Alligator mississippiensis: one gene and its partner. Each later gene encodes a partner of the first gene's protein in a complex. Links are inferred from orthologs where the notes say so. Each region holds a gene or a part of one and is shown on either strand. Other genes may lie near its edges.

Region 1 (7,621 bases):
ATGGGCAAGGGTATACGGGGAGTGGATCATGGCTCTGCTCCGGCCCCTCATAATCACTGCCCCAAAATCCTGGCCCTGGACGCAGCTTCCCACCCGCCTGCAGCCCCATCCCATCTGCCCAGCCACGTGCCTTACTTGTGCAGTTTCCAGCCACACGGGTAAGGTCTCCATGATGATCCTGGGATAGTAGGGCAGTGACAGCATGGGGCCAGGGCTGGGGCAGATCTGCAATCCACTACCTGCATGCCCCTGAGACAGGTGCTGGTTCTGTTGAGCAGTCATCTCCCCATGATCCCAGCCCCACCTGCTTTCCCACTCCTGCCCTGCCATGGCCCCATCCCAGCCACATGGCCAAGCAGAGAGCAGAGCCACTTAAGGAGTTTGGGTGAGCTGTTGCATTGGTGGGGTGGGGGAGAGGTATGTTGACTTGACCTGCGACAGCTCACCAAAACTCCCTATGTGGCTCTCAGGCCCAAATAATTGCCAACCCCTTCTCTTTGGGCTCCTACTTTTACACAGGGGAGGAAAAGTAGGAAGGAACCCCAGTGACAGGCAGCAAAAGAAGTCTGAAAAGAAAGGATCAGACAACAGGAGAATTGCTAAGGCAATTTCCTCAGCCCCAGGGAGGAAAAAAACAGGCATTGGGGTGGGATTTGTGGAAGAATGAGCAGGGACTCACTCTGGTACTGCCACTGCCCTTTACAAAAGTGGTTGTGGGGAAGTGAGAAGAGCAGAGATTTTTCTCAACATCCCCATGCCTCCATGTCCATCCACAATGAAAGAAGCACTGCAGAGTTTGGGGCAGAGAAAGAACTGAGTGGGTATGAGAATGCTGCACTGGTTTAATTAATTTAAAGACAATTCAATTAAACTGGTGCAGTATAACCAGGTGAAAAAAGTCCTTTGTTTCCTGGAGGGTTTGAACTTTGGTTTTTTGAACTTTGGTTTTCATTCTGGTTTGGAATGGAAACCAAAAATGTTGAAATTCGGCACATATGGGACTGGAGGTGAGGCTCCATGGTAGGACAGGGAAGGATTTCCAGAGAAATGTGGTTAAAATTCAACCTTTCCTCCTTGCTGAGCTTTGGTCTTCTGCCAAGAAGAAAACTGTGCCCATTGATTACCACTGGGTGTGTACCACATCTTGGCAATTTGGCAATGAGTAAGGGTTACAGCATATTGAATTATATCTCCCAGCACCAGTCTCAGGCTCTTTGTCTTGGAAGAGCCTTAGAGCAGCTCAGGATTATGTGCTTAGGACCCCAGTAAATCACATTTTATTGCTCCAATTCTGTCCTGTGATTCATAGTTTAGTAATATGAAAAAGGAAGGTGTTGATTTGCATTTGCTTGTATAGGAGGACCTAGTGGTATCTTTTAAAAGCTTTGTTCCTGCATTGAGTAGATGTTATATCTTTTATTAGAGCAACTAACTAGTTGGAAAATTGTTCTTTGCAAGCACCCTTCTTCAGGCATTGGAGAGAGTCTCTTGTTGGTTTGGGTGCTCTCCTGGGTAGATTGGAAGCCAATATGCAAAAATGTAGGTCTGTGAAAATGCATTTTTGCATATTGGCTTGTAATCTACCCAGGAGAGCACCCAAACCAACAGCAGACTCTCTCCAATGCCTGAAGAAGGGTGTTTGTGCCTGAAAGCTTGCAAAGAACATTTTTCATACTATTTAGTTGGTCTAATAAAAGATATCACATCTATCCAAAGAACTTTGTCTGCCTATGTCAGAGCAACACAGCTACAACCAACAACCTTGTTCTTGCATTGGAGTCTATCAATGTTAACACCTCTGCTCAGGAGTCTCATTAACGGAGACTTAGGTTGTAAAATATTCTGAGCTGGAATTTTGGACCAAATTCTGCTTTGTAAAATACTAAAACATAGTGTATTATTTATGCATTTTAGTGGAAGCAGTCACTGAAAGCTTGAGTGAATTTACTCTAGCCAATGAGTTATGTGTAAATTCCAAATGGTGATCCTAATTCCAGTCGCAGATACAGTATAATTTATTATATAATGTATATATAATGATCCCTATAGCCTTATTAGGCTTAGTTTGAATGTTTGCCAGTTGGTTTCCAAAAGGTCTGACATAAGGCTGGGTTTTCAAAGATGAATAGTTAGGTCGCACCTACAAAGTAATTTGTTCACATATGGGAATTATGAGCACAAACACTCATTTTTTGCAAGAAAATGTGTGCTTTGGAGCAGAGTGGACATAAAACACCCTTCTGAGGAGGTCCCTGTGACAATGGTAGCACAGCTGCAGCATACAGAATTCTACAATGTAGCCCTGGGGCATGCTCATCTTTATTAATACTTTTTGGCTTCATTAATTAGACCAGCATTTCCCAATTGGCTGTTTAGGACCCTGAGGGAGGCTGAACAACAACACAAATTTTATTCCAGTGTAAAACAAAAGAAAAACTCCAACCCTCTAAACCCATCAAGGTCAACTGTTCTTTGCCAACTTCTAGATACACAGAAATTTTGTAGGCATATCCTAGTTTGACTGCTGTTACCTGACATTGTTTTGTTCTGTTTTTTATTCTTGGAGTAAGAATAAGGAAGTCACGAACATTTTCTTTTTTACTTTGCTACCAAAAGGAGATGGTTGAGAAACATTCAAGTAAAGCATGGGGCCATGGGTCATGGGAAGCACACACAAAGCCTGGTGGCTCCATCACAATGTCAGGGCAACATATTGTTGTGCTCTCCTCTTGTGGCTGGAGCAGGTGGTACAGAGGGGTTTAGGAGCCCCTACTCCCACTCTGCCAATGGCCTAGCATTGTGACTCAAGCAAGGGAGGCTCATGCTTTTAAATATGAACATCTTAGGTTCAGTGCTCACAGATAAGCTGCCCCAGGGGGTCTTAGTGCAGCCACCTACCACAGGCATTGCTCAGGCAGAGCTACTCCAGCCAGTGCCAAAGGGGAGCAGTCCATCTCCGTGATGGCAGGCCACGGAGCAGGTGCTCATGGAGAGAGCCCTGAGCAGGGCTCCCTACACTCGAGGTATTAGACTTAAAGCACATTAACTAATGTGCATTAATGCACATATAGACACACCCTTGGGCAGTCCTGTAGCAGGTGCGGGGGCCACTCCAAGTGCCAAAGTGAAGGAGCATCAACAGGAGCTGCCCAGCTGGGGCAGGGTGTGGGACAGCAGTTCATTTGTGTGGGGGCATGGAAATGCTGGGAGGGTGGTTCCTGCCGCTGTGTGCACTTCCAGGTAAGCATGGGGGGGGTGCCCCCCAGATCTGTGTGTGGGGTGAGGGTGGGCCCTGGGCACCAAACTTTGTTCCTACGGCACTACCCTTGGCGCATGTCTACATGTGCATTAATGCACTTTAGTTAATGTGCATTAAGTAGGGTGGCCATCATAGAGGACATTCCAGTTTTCTGCTACTTGGTCCTCTGTTGATACGAAACCAGATGCCTTTATGTCCTCTGTTTTTCTTTTGAAGAAAAGAGCTACTCCAGCTAGTGCCAAAGGGGAGCAGCCCATCTTTGTGATGGCAGCGCATGGAGCAGGCGCCCATGGAAAGAGCCCCGAGCAGGGCTCCCTAACACTTGAGGTACGAGACTTAATGTGCATTAACTAATGTCCGTTAACACACATGTAGACCTGCCCTTGGGTAGCGCTGTAGCAGGTGTGGGAGGGAGGAGGAAGAGAAGAGAAAAATACAGGACATAAAGGCATCTGGTTTCATATCAAGAAGACAACCGGACTGTCCTCATGATGGCCACCCTAGCATTAAGTCTAGTACCTCCACTGTAAGGTACTAGGAAAATGCACATTAGCCTGTCTAATGCACATTAACGGAAGAGTACAGGGTTTTTTTAGCGAGGTTTTAACGCCCATTAAAATAGGCTAATGTGCACGTGTAAATGTGCCCCAACAACCCTATTCCTGGGGTGGGGTACAGGGCACCTGCAGGCCACTACACCCCTCCCCCTGCTGCCTGTAATTAGGGGTGAGGGGGAAGAACGGGAGGTCATGGGGGTCCCATGGGACACACCACAGCCCACGGTGCTGGTAGGGGGTGCAAGACTCCCCGCGGCACAAAGACCCGGGCACTCCCCGTCCCGCGGCGCCTACAACTCCCAGTATGCAGCGCGCCCCCACGGCAGCTGGCGGCGCGCGTCCCGCCGCTCTGCATGCCGGGGGATGTAGTCCCGGCGCCCACTGAGAGGGGCCGCGCCCGGGGGTGTCGGGGTGGTGGGCAGAGAGGCGGCAGGCTCCGGCCCCGTTCCCAGCCCCGTGTGACCCGGCGGACGCCCTACTCGGGGGAGCGGGCCGGCAGGCGCTGCAGGGGCGGGCTCGGGCGGCTGCGCAGTCGGGGAAGCGCGGCGGCGCCAGTTCCGTGTTTACACGCCCACTCCGGAGCTGGAGCGGCAGCAGGAGCCGGAGCCGCCGCGCAGGGACTGCCCCCTGCAAAGCCAGGGGGTCTGTGCCATCCCCCCACCCCTTGTCCCGCATCCGCCGCCCCCCGCTGCAGCCGGGCGCCCCGGCCCCGGGGATGTTCTCCCGCAAGGGCCATGCGGATGTCAAGAAATCTACACAGAAAGCGCTGGACCCGAAGAAGGACGTGCTGACCCGCCTCAAGCACCTCCGCGCCGTGCTGGGTGAGCCCCGGGCACTGCCCGCCGCCTCCTCCGCGGGGCACGGGCCTGGAGGGGCTGGGTGTCTCGGGTGGGCAGTGCCGAGTGCGCCTGGGTTTGAGCCTTGCGGGAGAGGCCCCGGGTAGACAGAGCGGGGCACAGACATCTTTCTGTCAGTGGAAGGGGGAGAAGAGTTTGAAAACCTGCTTGACAACGGGCTCTTCAAATCAGTAGTTGCCACCCTTGGAATCGGCGCTGTTCCTTGACTCCAGGTGGCCCAGGACGAACTTGTAGTATCAGGCCCCCGTTCGCCAGAGAGAATGATAATAATAGTAATAATAATGACCATTTTCTGGCCTCCTTTCTGTCTGGGGCACCCTGTTGGCCCATGCCTGTGTCTGGTCTTGTTTGGAATGACTGGGTGTTTCCTGTGCACCAGTTCGCGCCTGGTTTTGTTATCCAAAGTGTCTGCAATCCAGTCTCTTGTGGGGGATTCAGAGTCATAAAAAATGAGGGTTGGACACAGCGTTCCCTCTAAGCTGCGTGGCGTGCGCGGCTGCACAGGCAAGCTTATGCCATGCTGCCAGGTGCGCCTGCATGGCTGCACAGCTTGGAGGGAACGCTGGTTGGAAGGGACCATTGGAGGTCATCCAGTGGTTCTCCACCTTTTTTGGACCAGGACTCATTTGGAAATGTCAATGGCTCATCCCAACCCAGTGCCCCTCGCTTCTGACCTGCTGCCCCCCACCCCACAGTGTGGGCTCCAAGCAGCCCCTTGCAGGCTGGCGATTTCCCACCTTTTTCTCCTTTAAAGGAGAATCCATTTTTAAAGTTTGTTGATCCATTTTTAAAGTTTGCTCATGACCCTCTCAGATATTCTTGCGACCTATGGGTTGAGAAACACTGATCTTGTTCAACCTCCTGTTCATATCAGGACCATCCCCAACTAGATCATCCCAGCCAAAGCTTTGTGTAGCTGGGTCTCAAAAACCTCCAAGGATAGAGACTCAACCACGTCCCTGGGTAACCTGTTCCAGTGTTTTACCATCCTCCTAGTGAGAGAGTTTTTTCCAATACTGTATCTAACCTAAACTTCCCTTGCTGCAACTTGAGACATTTAACTAGAAGGAACTTCTTTTAAAAAACCGCCCAGAAATAAAGAAACTCAATTGACTAGCATGCCCTGAGGTTTAGGACAAAGGTTAAGGAGAGTTAGTACCGCCCTGCCTCCTGTTCAGTTGTTGATGCTTCTGTATAAGTTAAATGACCTCATACATGAGTAGATCTGGTCTGACTAAAGCTGTTAGGATTAATGTCTCTTACATGAATTTAAGAAAATATCTTGAATTCCATTAGGATAAAAGGACAGGGCCACTTTGCAAAATCAATGTTTAGGATGTGTAACTGTAATGATAAACAGGCATTAAAAAGCATGGAAAAGGAAGGGTAAGGTCTTGCAGGATATTCCAGGAAATTTAACGAGATTTTATTTGGTTGAAGTGAAATGTCATTCCATTATTTAAATGATAGTAGCAGCATTTTAATGAAATATTATTCATATGCTACTTCACTGTATGAAAAGTGTATTAATTGAGTTCAGATGGAGTTTACTAGAGAATGAGCTGAAGGTTTCTGTTCCCCAGACAATTAAAGAACCAAAAAACACCTCCCAAACTCCTTCCCCTCCCTTGTTTTGGATAGGGCATGCCAAAAAACTCCTCTTGTACATAATCAAGCTATACCACAAAGAAGTTCGTGATAAAAAACCATTTACAGACCATTACTTATTTCCTTCTCTGAAATAAGATTTTATCAAAATGCACACATTGCCTCATGACTTTCTGTAAATTCTAGATGTCTTCTTTGTTCCACTGTGTGCATGGCTGGTAGTATTAAAGATGCAACACAAATTAACCACATTCTCCCAAACTGTTTGTTTGTTTAATCATTCGTTGGTTATATTTCAATAATCAACTGAGACTATCTAAGAATGCATTTTGGCATCTGGGTTCATAAAATATGCAGATGTTACAGGGGGACTAGTTCCACTTTATAGGCACCAAAATAACTTCAAAAGGTTGCTTTTAGATTAAAAATGTCATAGCAAATAAAAGCTTCTACAAATAAAAAAAAAGTTAAAGACTGCTAAGAAAATAACTACCTTATTAATTGCCTAATTTACAAAATCCAAGCGTATAAGGCAAGAAATAAATCATGAAACATAAAATATACTATGTACTGCAAACGTGTGCTTATCAATCTAATGAAATCTCATCACAGTGCAACAGCCCTAGGTCCAATATGCAGATTGCTCTTTTTAAAGAATTTTTATTATCTTGGTTCAGTACATTTTTAAGGACTATTGTTAAATGGGGACTAGTATCAGTTAGTATTTATTCATTGACACTGGCATTTTGGTAATGTATTTATAATTTACGTGTTTTAGGATGAATGTGATTTAATAGTAAGTGTGTAACATAAGTGATTTATAGTAAAAGCATTTCTGTTTGGAAAACTGCATGTTAAGAATGGCAAATATAAAAACTCTCTTAACACCCCCCCCTCCCGATTTTACCATGTGAGTTTATTAGTGAAAGGATACCAGTTTCTTACTGTGGCTCAAACTTAAGATTTTTTTAAATTATAAAACATGCATTTCTTTATACTTAATAAATCCTTATGTGCAATGCAGGCTTTATGACGACCTTTTTTCTTTATTTCCAGTGTTTGAGTCTGTGTGTGATAAGAAACTGCGTTATCATTTAACTGATATTTTAAATAGAATTGGTGTTTTTGTATATATGCTTTGGAATGTGCTTTTTTTAACATTTTTCATTTTTATATGTGGATGAATGAAAACAATGTTTCAAAAATATATAAGTGGTATACGTATCATATGACTATTAAATAAGGGAGCTGAAAATAGTTTCTTCAAAGCCTTATATATTTCAAAGCACAGTTGATAGGATGCATATGTTGCTTACAAAGATTGCATGTCTTGTTAACTA
Region 2 (7,451 bases), on another chromosome or scaffold:
ACTGCTTTACCAGAAGATACACAAAATGCACTATAGGGAATAAACTGGCATTTAATAAATCTTTCTCCATTTTCCAAACTCCCATGGTTGTCTGATGCCTTCTCTGTTTAGAGTACAAGGTCCTCTCATTTAATATAGGACTGAAAGAGCTGGAGCACCGGTTCAAACAAAAAAGTAGAAGAAACTTACTGGGTCACATAAGATTTCCCCAAGCTCTTTTACAGCACAGAATCATTCTCTATTTGACTTTCCTTTTAAAACTAAACATGAGCAAGCATGCCAAACCAAAGCAATCCTGTCATTACTTTGGGAGACTATTCTACAGGCCAGAAGATCAATGATATGGTCTTCAAAATCATCCCACTCCATTTCTACAGTCCTCCGTCAAGTGGAGACCTAGCATTACTAATATAAACAGAACTAAAAAAAGTATTCAGATTTTGGTTTTCCCAAGACAAGATAGCAATAAAAGGCACTCAGTTTACAACAAATACAAGTCACGCCCTTACCACATATATAAGAAGTTAGAACAATAGATAAAACCTTGGTAATGGAAAACGGAACAAATGGTCTATGCCAAGAAATGTACAAAACTGAAGTAAATTAAACTAGTGCCTGAGACAAGTGGGGGGGAAAAAAAAACAACTGGACAGCCTCTAAAAGCGATCAGAATTATGGTGCCTTGTGGAAGAAAGGCCAAGAGCTTACCTTAAAAAAAAAAAAAATTAAACATTTACTTGCTCTAAAAAGAAAAGCTTTTTTTGTCTACCAGTTTCAGTATCTCAATGTTAACACATCCTTTGCTCAAAGGAATCACCAATCTGACCAGCATTTAAAGTATCTGAGAACAATGAGTTGAAAATGAGAACAGGCTTGCATTTTGGAAAGAACATGTTATTATGTGAAGTCCAATAAAAAAAAAAAAAATCTACTTCATGCTCAGAAATATTTCCCAGACTACAAACAAAACACAACAGTATTTTTTTTTCTGGCCTAGAAAATCTCCTTTAAAAAAAACAAACACACACAAAAACCACAGCCTACAAATCAGGAAAAACGCATAGTCCCCTAGAGAAACTACAGGTCTAGCATCAGCCAAACAGTGGAAAGGGGGAAAGCACTAGGCTCCTTGCATCTAAAAGGGTATTTTATTATTTGCTGGCATGACCTCACTACAGAAAGGCAGCTGTCCCTTCTCATCAGTTACCTTACAGAATGTGGAGTTAAAGCTGATTTTGAAAAAGTGGTTGTACAGATGTCACACCTCAGTCATGCCTGTTACATAGAGGGCATGCCAAGAACATACAATAAGCAGAAATGCTTCTTCTACCTCTAGTAGAAGCCCTTGTGATTTTTTCCCCCCCCCTTTCATGGAACATGGAAAGAGCTCCTGCCCCAAACTACTTTCTAGACATATCTGACAACAGCAGGAAATACTAACAAAGGGGAAGAGTGGTTTGTAAGGCCTAGATTTAAGGATAGATTTTTCAGCCTATTTGCGTTTTCCTGTACTCTGAGATTCTCTATTTCCCAAAGATACCTTTGTGTCGTTGGATTAAACTAATTAGAATGATTTTAATTTCATATGGTTAATTTTACTTCTTGGCAAGTCCTGAACGCAGAGACAAGTCAATTGCAATTCTCTGCCAAGGAATTAAGATTAAGAATATAGCAGCATATAAAGTTTAAAAAATTAAATCAAGACTCTGATACTGGATTACATAAAGCAAAATGATCAGTAAAGTCATGAATTACACAGAGTCCGAAGCCTAACTTTTGCTATCAACACTTCTGTAAAAAAATAAAATAAAAAAAGGCTAATACCATGTATGGTCTGTTCTACTATGTCTCTGCAACCAATGAAAATGCATCAGAACATAAAACTGAATGACAAGTCATACTCCTAGTCCAATTAGCCTGGAGCACTAACTTTACCAAGTCACTTGAACTCTGCACACTAGTTTCCCCAAACATACAAGAATACCATTTACTTAGTTTAATAAGCCCCTTGAGGTACATGGGTACGAAGGTCTCACAAGTGCCTTGTTAGTGTCAGTAGTCCTAACCTTTAGGTTCCCAAAGGAATTCTGTGGTTCTGAATAGTGCCCTCCATCAGTAGAACAAGACTTGCAGAAAACTTTCTACTGGAGAAAGGCACTTACCTCTGCTACAGACTGCAGGCTACGGGCAAACTTCAGCTGATTAACACCATGATGCACAGGTTTACCGTATGTTGCACCCTTTGGGACTGGGCGTTTACGACCGCCACGACGAACACGAATACGGTAAATCACGTAACCTTAAAAAAAAAAGTGTGTTTTTAAAAACGTTACTTGTTAAAGATTATGAGACTTCTGAATTTCATTAAGTATCAATTACCGTGACTTTATTTTCCCCTCACATTAATATTTTTCCCCTCAGGACTTCTAGTTCCACTCTTACTGTGGAAGCTGCTTTCATGAGCATCTTCAACGTAGATAAACCTTGTACTGGAAAATTTGGTGAAGTGCTCCTGCTTTATACGGTAACACTTAAAACAGCCAAATTCCCCCCATGTGTATGTCACTGCATTATACAACACAGGTCACTTCAGTGCCCAAACCAAAATAAGCTATATGGTACAACACACCTTAATACTGGTGTAAGTGAGTTTACATGTGGGCTGTTGACAATATAATTTTCCAATTATAAAAATTATTTAAGCCGATAGTAAAACATGAGTGCAGATTGGAGAACTTCGTAGCTATTAGAAACTAGAAAGGTTAAGTAGAGTTTTTGGTCTTGTTTTCATTTTTTAAGTGCGAAAATGCTTCCAGGATTGCAAGCTGACAGTCTTTTTCCACAGCGCTTTGCAAACACATCTCAGTCCTGTCCACCTCTGAAGATATTATTATTTTATCTTCACTGGAGTCAGCTTGGATTCTTAGCCAGGCATTTCACATGAGAATGCCTCTCTGGTCCACACTCATCTTTGCTTAAGGGGACTTTCCACCCAGCTAGATGTTGTGGCTTACAGCATGTGCCAGCTCCTGGATCCGCTCTCATCTGGGATAATAACCTCCAACTTTGCAGAGGAAAACGAGAGAAGTTCAAATCTCCAAGAACAAGGAGAATTCAGTCTCTGTAACTTACTTATCTAGATACTTAATTATCCAGTTTTGCCAAAATTATTTCCTTAGATGCTAATTAAGCATGAATTATAGCACTATCCTTTTTCTGTAGACAGCTGTATTGCTATGTTACTACCTGTAACCCAACTTTTCATGGTGTTTTTCAACTCTTACCAAAGAGCATACACACCTAGCATGCTGCCAGTTACACATACCCCTTACTGCTCAGTTAGGAAAGACTCTAACAAGTACCGTGGCGACACACCCCAGTGCTAAAGCGTCAGCTGCAAACCTCTTCAGGCCTAGTTACCTTGCTTGGCTTTGTATCCCAGCCTACGGGCTCTGTCTGGCCGGGTAGGTCTGGGAGCTCGATGCAGGGCAGACAACTGGCGGTACTGCCAACAGCGGACACGCAAAAGGAAACGCATCACATCTGACTGCTTCTTCCTCCATAGCTCTTGGATGTACTTGTAAGCGCCCATGCTTGTTTACCTGTTTAATCAGAGATCTGTGTAAGTTTGCAATCAAGCCTTTATCCCCCTTTGAGACTCTCCCGCAGGAAACCCACGTGCAAAGGGGACATCGTGTAACAGGCTGCACCAAACTGAAACGCAAGGGGCTTAAACGCAGGGCAGCCGCCACACCGCAAATGCCTGCTCGCCTCTCTCCCTGCTTTTATGCATGCTGAACTCCTGAGAGAGAAACTGCTTTTCCGTGAGGATGCCTGGCACACCCTAGCTACTGCCACATGCCAAATAGCGGCTTCACCCAGAATGCAGCGGATCTGCCAGTGAGTTTAGGGAAAAGCTTCGGGGAAGTCACCGCCTCTCAGCAGCTTCCTCCCCAGAGGCCTGACTTAACTCCTGCACCGCGAAGAGCTTTCCCTCGGCTGGCACCCAGGGCCGCTGGGCGCCTCCGCGCTGGTGCAAGGACACAGGCCGCCCCGGGCCCTCCCCGACTCGACTCCCGCTCGCCCCAGCCCGGCGGGCCCGGCGCCAGCACCCCCGCCAGGCCGCGCCGAGAGCCGCGGGCCGAGCCGGGCCGGAGCCGCGCCGGGGCCTGCCCCACACTCGGAGGCGGTGATGGCGGCGGATAGAGGCAGCAGCCGGGACCGGCCTGATCCTCACCTGATGGCGCCCGAAGCCGGAAAGGAAGAAGCCGCGCTCCCACAACCCTTTGTGGCCCCGCCTCCCTTCCGGCGCCGCGCCCCAGGGGCTGCTGGAAAATGTAGTCCTCCGCCCGCCCCAGCCCGGGGCCTGCTTGGAAATGTAGTACGGGGGGGGGGGCTGCCCCGCCCCGGGGCCTGCTGGGAAGTGTAGTTCGGCGGGGGCCGCCTCCACCTTCCGCCTCCCGGTGCGCCCCGCGCGGCCCGGGCATGGGGAAGGGTTACAAGGTGGTGGTGAGCGGCGCGGCCGCCGTGGGCAAGACAGCTGTGCTGGAGCAGCTGCTGTACGGGCACCACGCGGCCGGTGAGCGCGGGGGGTTGGGGCGGCGGGTCCTGGCCCCCTCGGCGCCGCCCCAGCCTTGCCACACGTTACATGTATTGCGCACTCGTCAGGCCAAGGAATCGCCGCCGCCTTGGCTGGTGAATCGAGCCATACGTGCGGACTGAGCACAGGTGCAGAGGGGCCGCCCGCCCGCCAGTCATGCCACAAACGTAGTCCAACCGCAGGTGCGGGGGGGATCGCCCACGAGTTGCACCATAAATGTAGACTGTGCCGAGTCATCGCCACGTGCCTAAAATGTGGCTGCCCAGCTATCCAAAGAACTGGCCAGGTCGCCACGTACTGCTTGGAAACGCGCAGCAGTTCCCTCGCTGGTTTCTTGCCAGCTTCAGTTTGAGCAACGGGGTCGCCAGGTCCCCCCCGTGTCTCCAACCTCCATGTCCCCGGCTGCCGCTTCAGGCAGTTGCTCCTTCCCGTCTCCCGCCGTCCTGTTTCTGCTCTCTGCAGCGTTGGCAGTAAAGAGGTGCTGTCAGGAGGCTCTGGATGAGCAGGGGTAACGGGAGGTGGCTGGGGGCAGAGGTGCCCTGGTGGGAGGGCAGGGGGTGCTGTCACTTGGGCTGATTGGGACAAGTTGGGCAGGCGGGCATTTGCAATTTGAGACCTTTGGACTAATGAGTTTCGTTCCTCAAAAGCAGAAGGCCTCTGTCCTTGCCGGCTGCGGACGGAGCATGGTGCTAACCAGGGGTCTCCTCTAGCTGTAGCGATACACATATTGAGTGCTGCCACTTGGCATAACTGGGAGCTGCTGTGGGAGAGCAGCGGGCCCAGTGAGCTCAATGGCAAGGAAAAGGTTTCGGTTTGTTCATCTCCCATCTGACTTGCTCTGAATGAGCTGGTTAGCACCAGTGTCTGAACAGGATGGCTAAGAAGGTGATGCTTATCGTACTGCCGTTAATTACTTCCTGTTCTTAGCTGCTGTTAGTAACTGAGGCAGGAAGAAAGTCAAGTGCAGCTGATGAGAGCTATTTATGGAGCTACTCGTTAAATGCTTATGTAACAGGAGGGACCTTCTCTGAGATGCACCTCCTTTACATTTAACTGTACATTTAATAAATGCTCTTTAATGCACACTAAATCTCACTGGATTTACAAATAATACTTTTTAACATAGTAGAAAATCCCTCATCTACCTTCAGGCCAAATTGCAAGCTCTTTTTTCAGCTATCATTTGTGATAGCTGACAGGAGAAAACAGGTGACAGGAGTTCAGTTCCCAGATTACACCACAGCCAGGTTTTGTACTGTTCCTCAGCCTCCTTATCCATTGTGTATGGAAGTGGGAAAGGGTCAGTCTCTGTTTTCCTCTCTCCTCAGCTTTGTTCCCAGCTCTCTTTCTGGTTGAGGCAGTGAACACTTCACCCAAGAGGAGGTAGGTAGAGAGTGAATTACACATCACTTGGTGCTCCTCAGCCTGACTTACCTTGAGAGAGCAAATGGGAAAGTTGACTGCTGGATTTCTCCATATGGGACATCTGGAAAGTTGTTTTTTTAAATGACTTCTCTGTGAATTGATGGCTTAGCCAGAAATCATTCCTGTACCTGGAAATGCTTGTGGTGCCTCTATCTCTGCCACAGCTTACTGCCTATGAGAACTGAAACACTCATCCTTTCTTCTGCTGACAATTCTGCTTTCCTTATCTCTGCCTTCTGACTACAAAAGAAACCCCACTGTGCTCAGGGTGTATTTCCAGTGAAGAACCTGGAAAACTATTGCAACTGAACCTCTGATTAGACAGAATCTTCCTGAATTTGTCTTCAGACTTGGAACTTAAGTTTCAAGCACCAAGGATGGTTTTTTGATTTTGGTTAGGATTTCGGTTTGGCAAACCTTAAGTGTGCAGAGAGTGACTATCCATGAGTTATTGTATCTGACTTGTGCAGCGCTAGCTCTGTTTTTAACCCGGAACTGCTTTTCGGACAAAGCTGTGACCATTCTTCCAGTCTAATGACAAAAATTGTTTTAAATGCATGGAACTGTGGGTTACAATATTAGACTAAATCAGTGAGGATAATACTCCTTTGGCCTTTGTTTGCTTCTACTTGATCCTGCAATCCTGGATTGAGTTGAACCAAATCCTGCAAAGGTCATTCCAGCTCCATGCATGCTCTGGGATTCCCCAGTGTACAGTCATTTCATCTTAAATCTAAATTAATAAAAATCACTAACATCAAACTCCAGCAGTCTTAGCCATGCAGTGGATTAAATTTGCCCACGTTCTTGTATGATCCCAGCAATGTAGTTCATCCTTGCCTAAAACTTAAGCCAAGTAACTAATGCCTTTCCATTCTCTCATAATTTTTGGTGCTGGTTGGTACACACTGTACAAGGGGATAGAACTAACTGCAACTGTGAACATTGTTAGCAACACGGTTTCCACTGTATTATCAGAGGTGAATTACTTTAACCTGATGAAATCCCTTTCCCTGTCTGAACAGTCAGCATCATGCCTATCTGCCATTTAAGTCCTCTGTATGAGCAGCATGTAGGGTGCCATTTGCACACTGGATATGTTTAGCCCATTGCTGGCACTAGTGATATGCAAATTCCTATGACCAAAAGAGATCCTTATTCCATTTCCATGTACACTTGTTCCCACAGTCCTAGCCTTCCACCATAAAACTTTATTTTGTTAGTTTTCATTCTCTCCCTTTGCCATTCTGTATGTTAGCCCAGGCATGTCCTGTTGCTGCTTTGATGGCTGGGAGAAATTTCCACAGAAGCACGTGGATAAGTTTTCAAGATCCATGCATTGAAGTATAGCATCAAGGTGATAATAACCTGTGTAAACTATCTTAGTAGAGAACTTTAAGATGAGCTTTATTACTTTTTTTTTTAA

The links.
Region 2: the proteins of RALGAPA2 (region 1) and NKIRAS1 are in contact, whole or in part, in a crystal structure (PDB 9QU1), measured with the Homo sapiens proteins. The link is inferred for Alligator mississippiensis from reciprocal best matches to the Homo sapiens genes RALGAPA2 and NKIRAS1. Residues at the interface, in NP_065076.2 of Homo sapiens: Pro20, Lys21, Tyr51, Ser52, Gln53, Phe56, Tyr59, Glu60, Ile63, Arg99, Phe102, Arg103, Trp104, His105, Tyr106, Gln107, Ser108, Lys185, Ile186, Tyr187, Pro188, Glu189; in NP_001364280.1 of Homo sapiens: Lys6, Glu22, Leu24, Leu25, Tyr26, Glu34, Met39, Glu40, Asp41, Val42, Tyr43, Met44, Ala45, Ser46, Val47, Glu48, Lys54, Gln56, His58, Tyr60, His74, Tyr75, Ser77, Phe78, Lys108, Thr162.

What each region holds. Positions count from the first base shown.
Region 1 is NC_081824.1:229,068,997-229,076,617, forward strand, and holds the start of RALGAPA2 (ral GTPase-activating protein subunit alpha-2), read left to right. Parts: upstream 1-4,368; 5' UTR 4,369-4,531; coding exon 4,532-4,637; intron 4,638-7,621.
Region 2 is NC_081828.1:147,991,575-147,999,025, forward strand, and holds the start of NKIRAS1 (NF-kappa-B inhibitor-interacting Ras-like protein 1), read left to right. Parts: upstream 1-4,439; 5' UTR 4,440-4,485; coding exon 4,486-4,579; intron 4,580-7,451. Other genes in the region: RPL15 (large ribosomal subunit protein eL15), read right to left, coding at 2,163-2,299, 3,421-3,592. UniProt on the Homo sapiens protein: Atypical Ras-like protein that acts as a potent regulator of NF-kappa-B activity by preventing the degradation of NF-kappa-B inhibitor beta (NFKBIB) by most signals, explaining why NFKBIB is more resistant to degradation.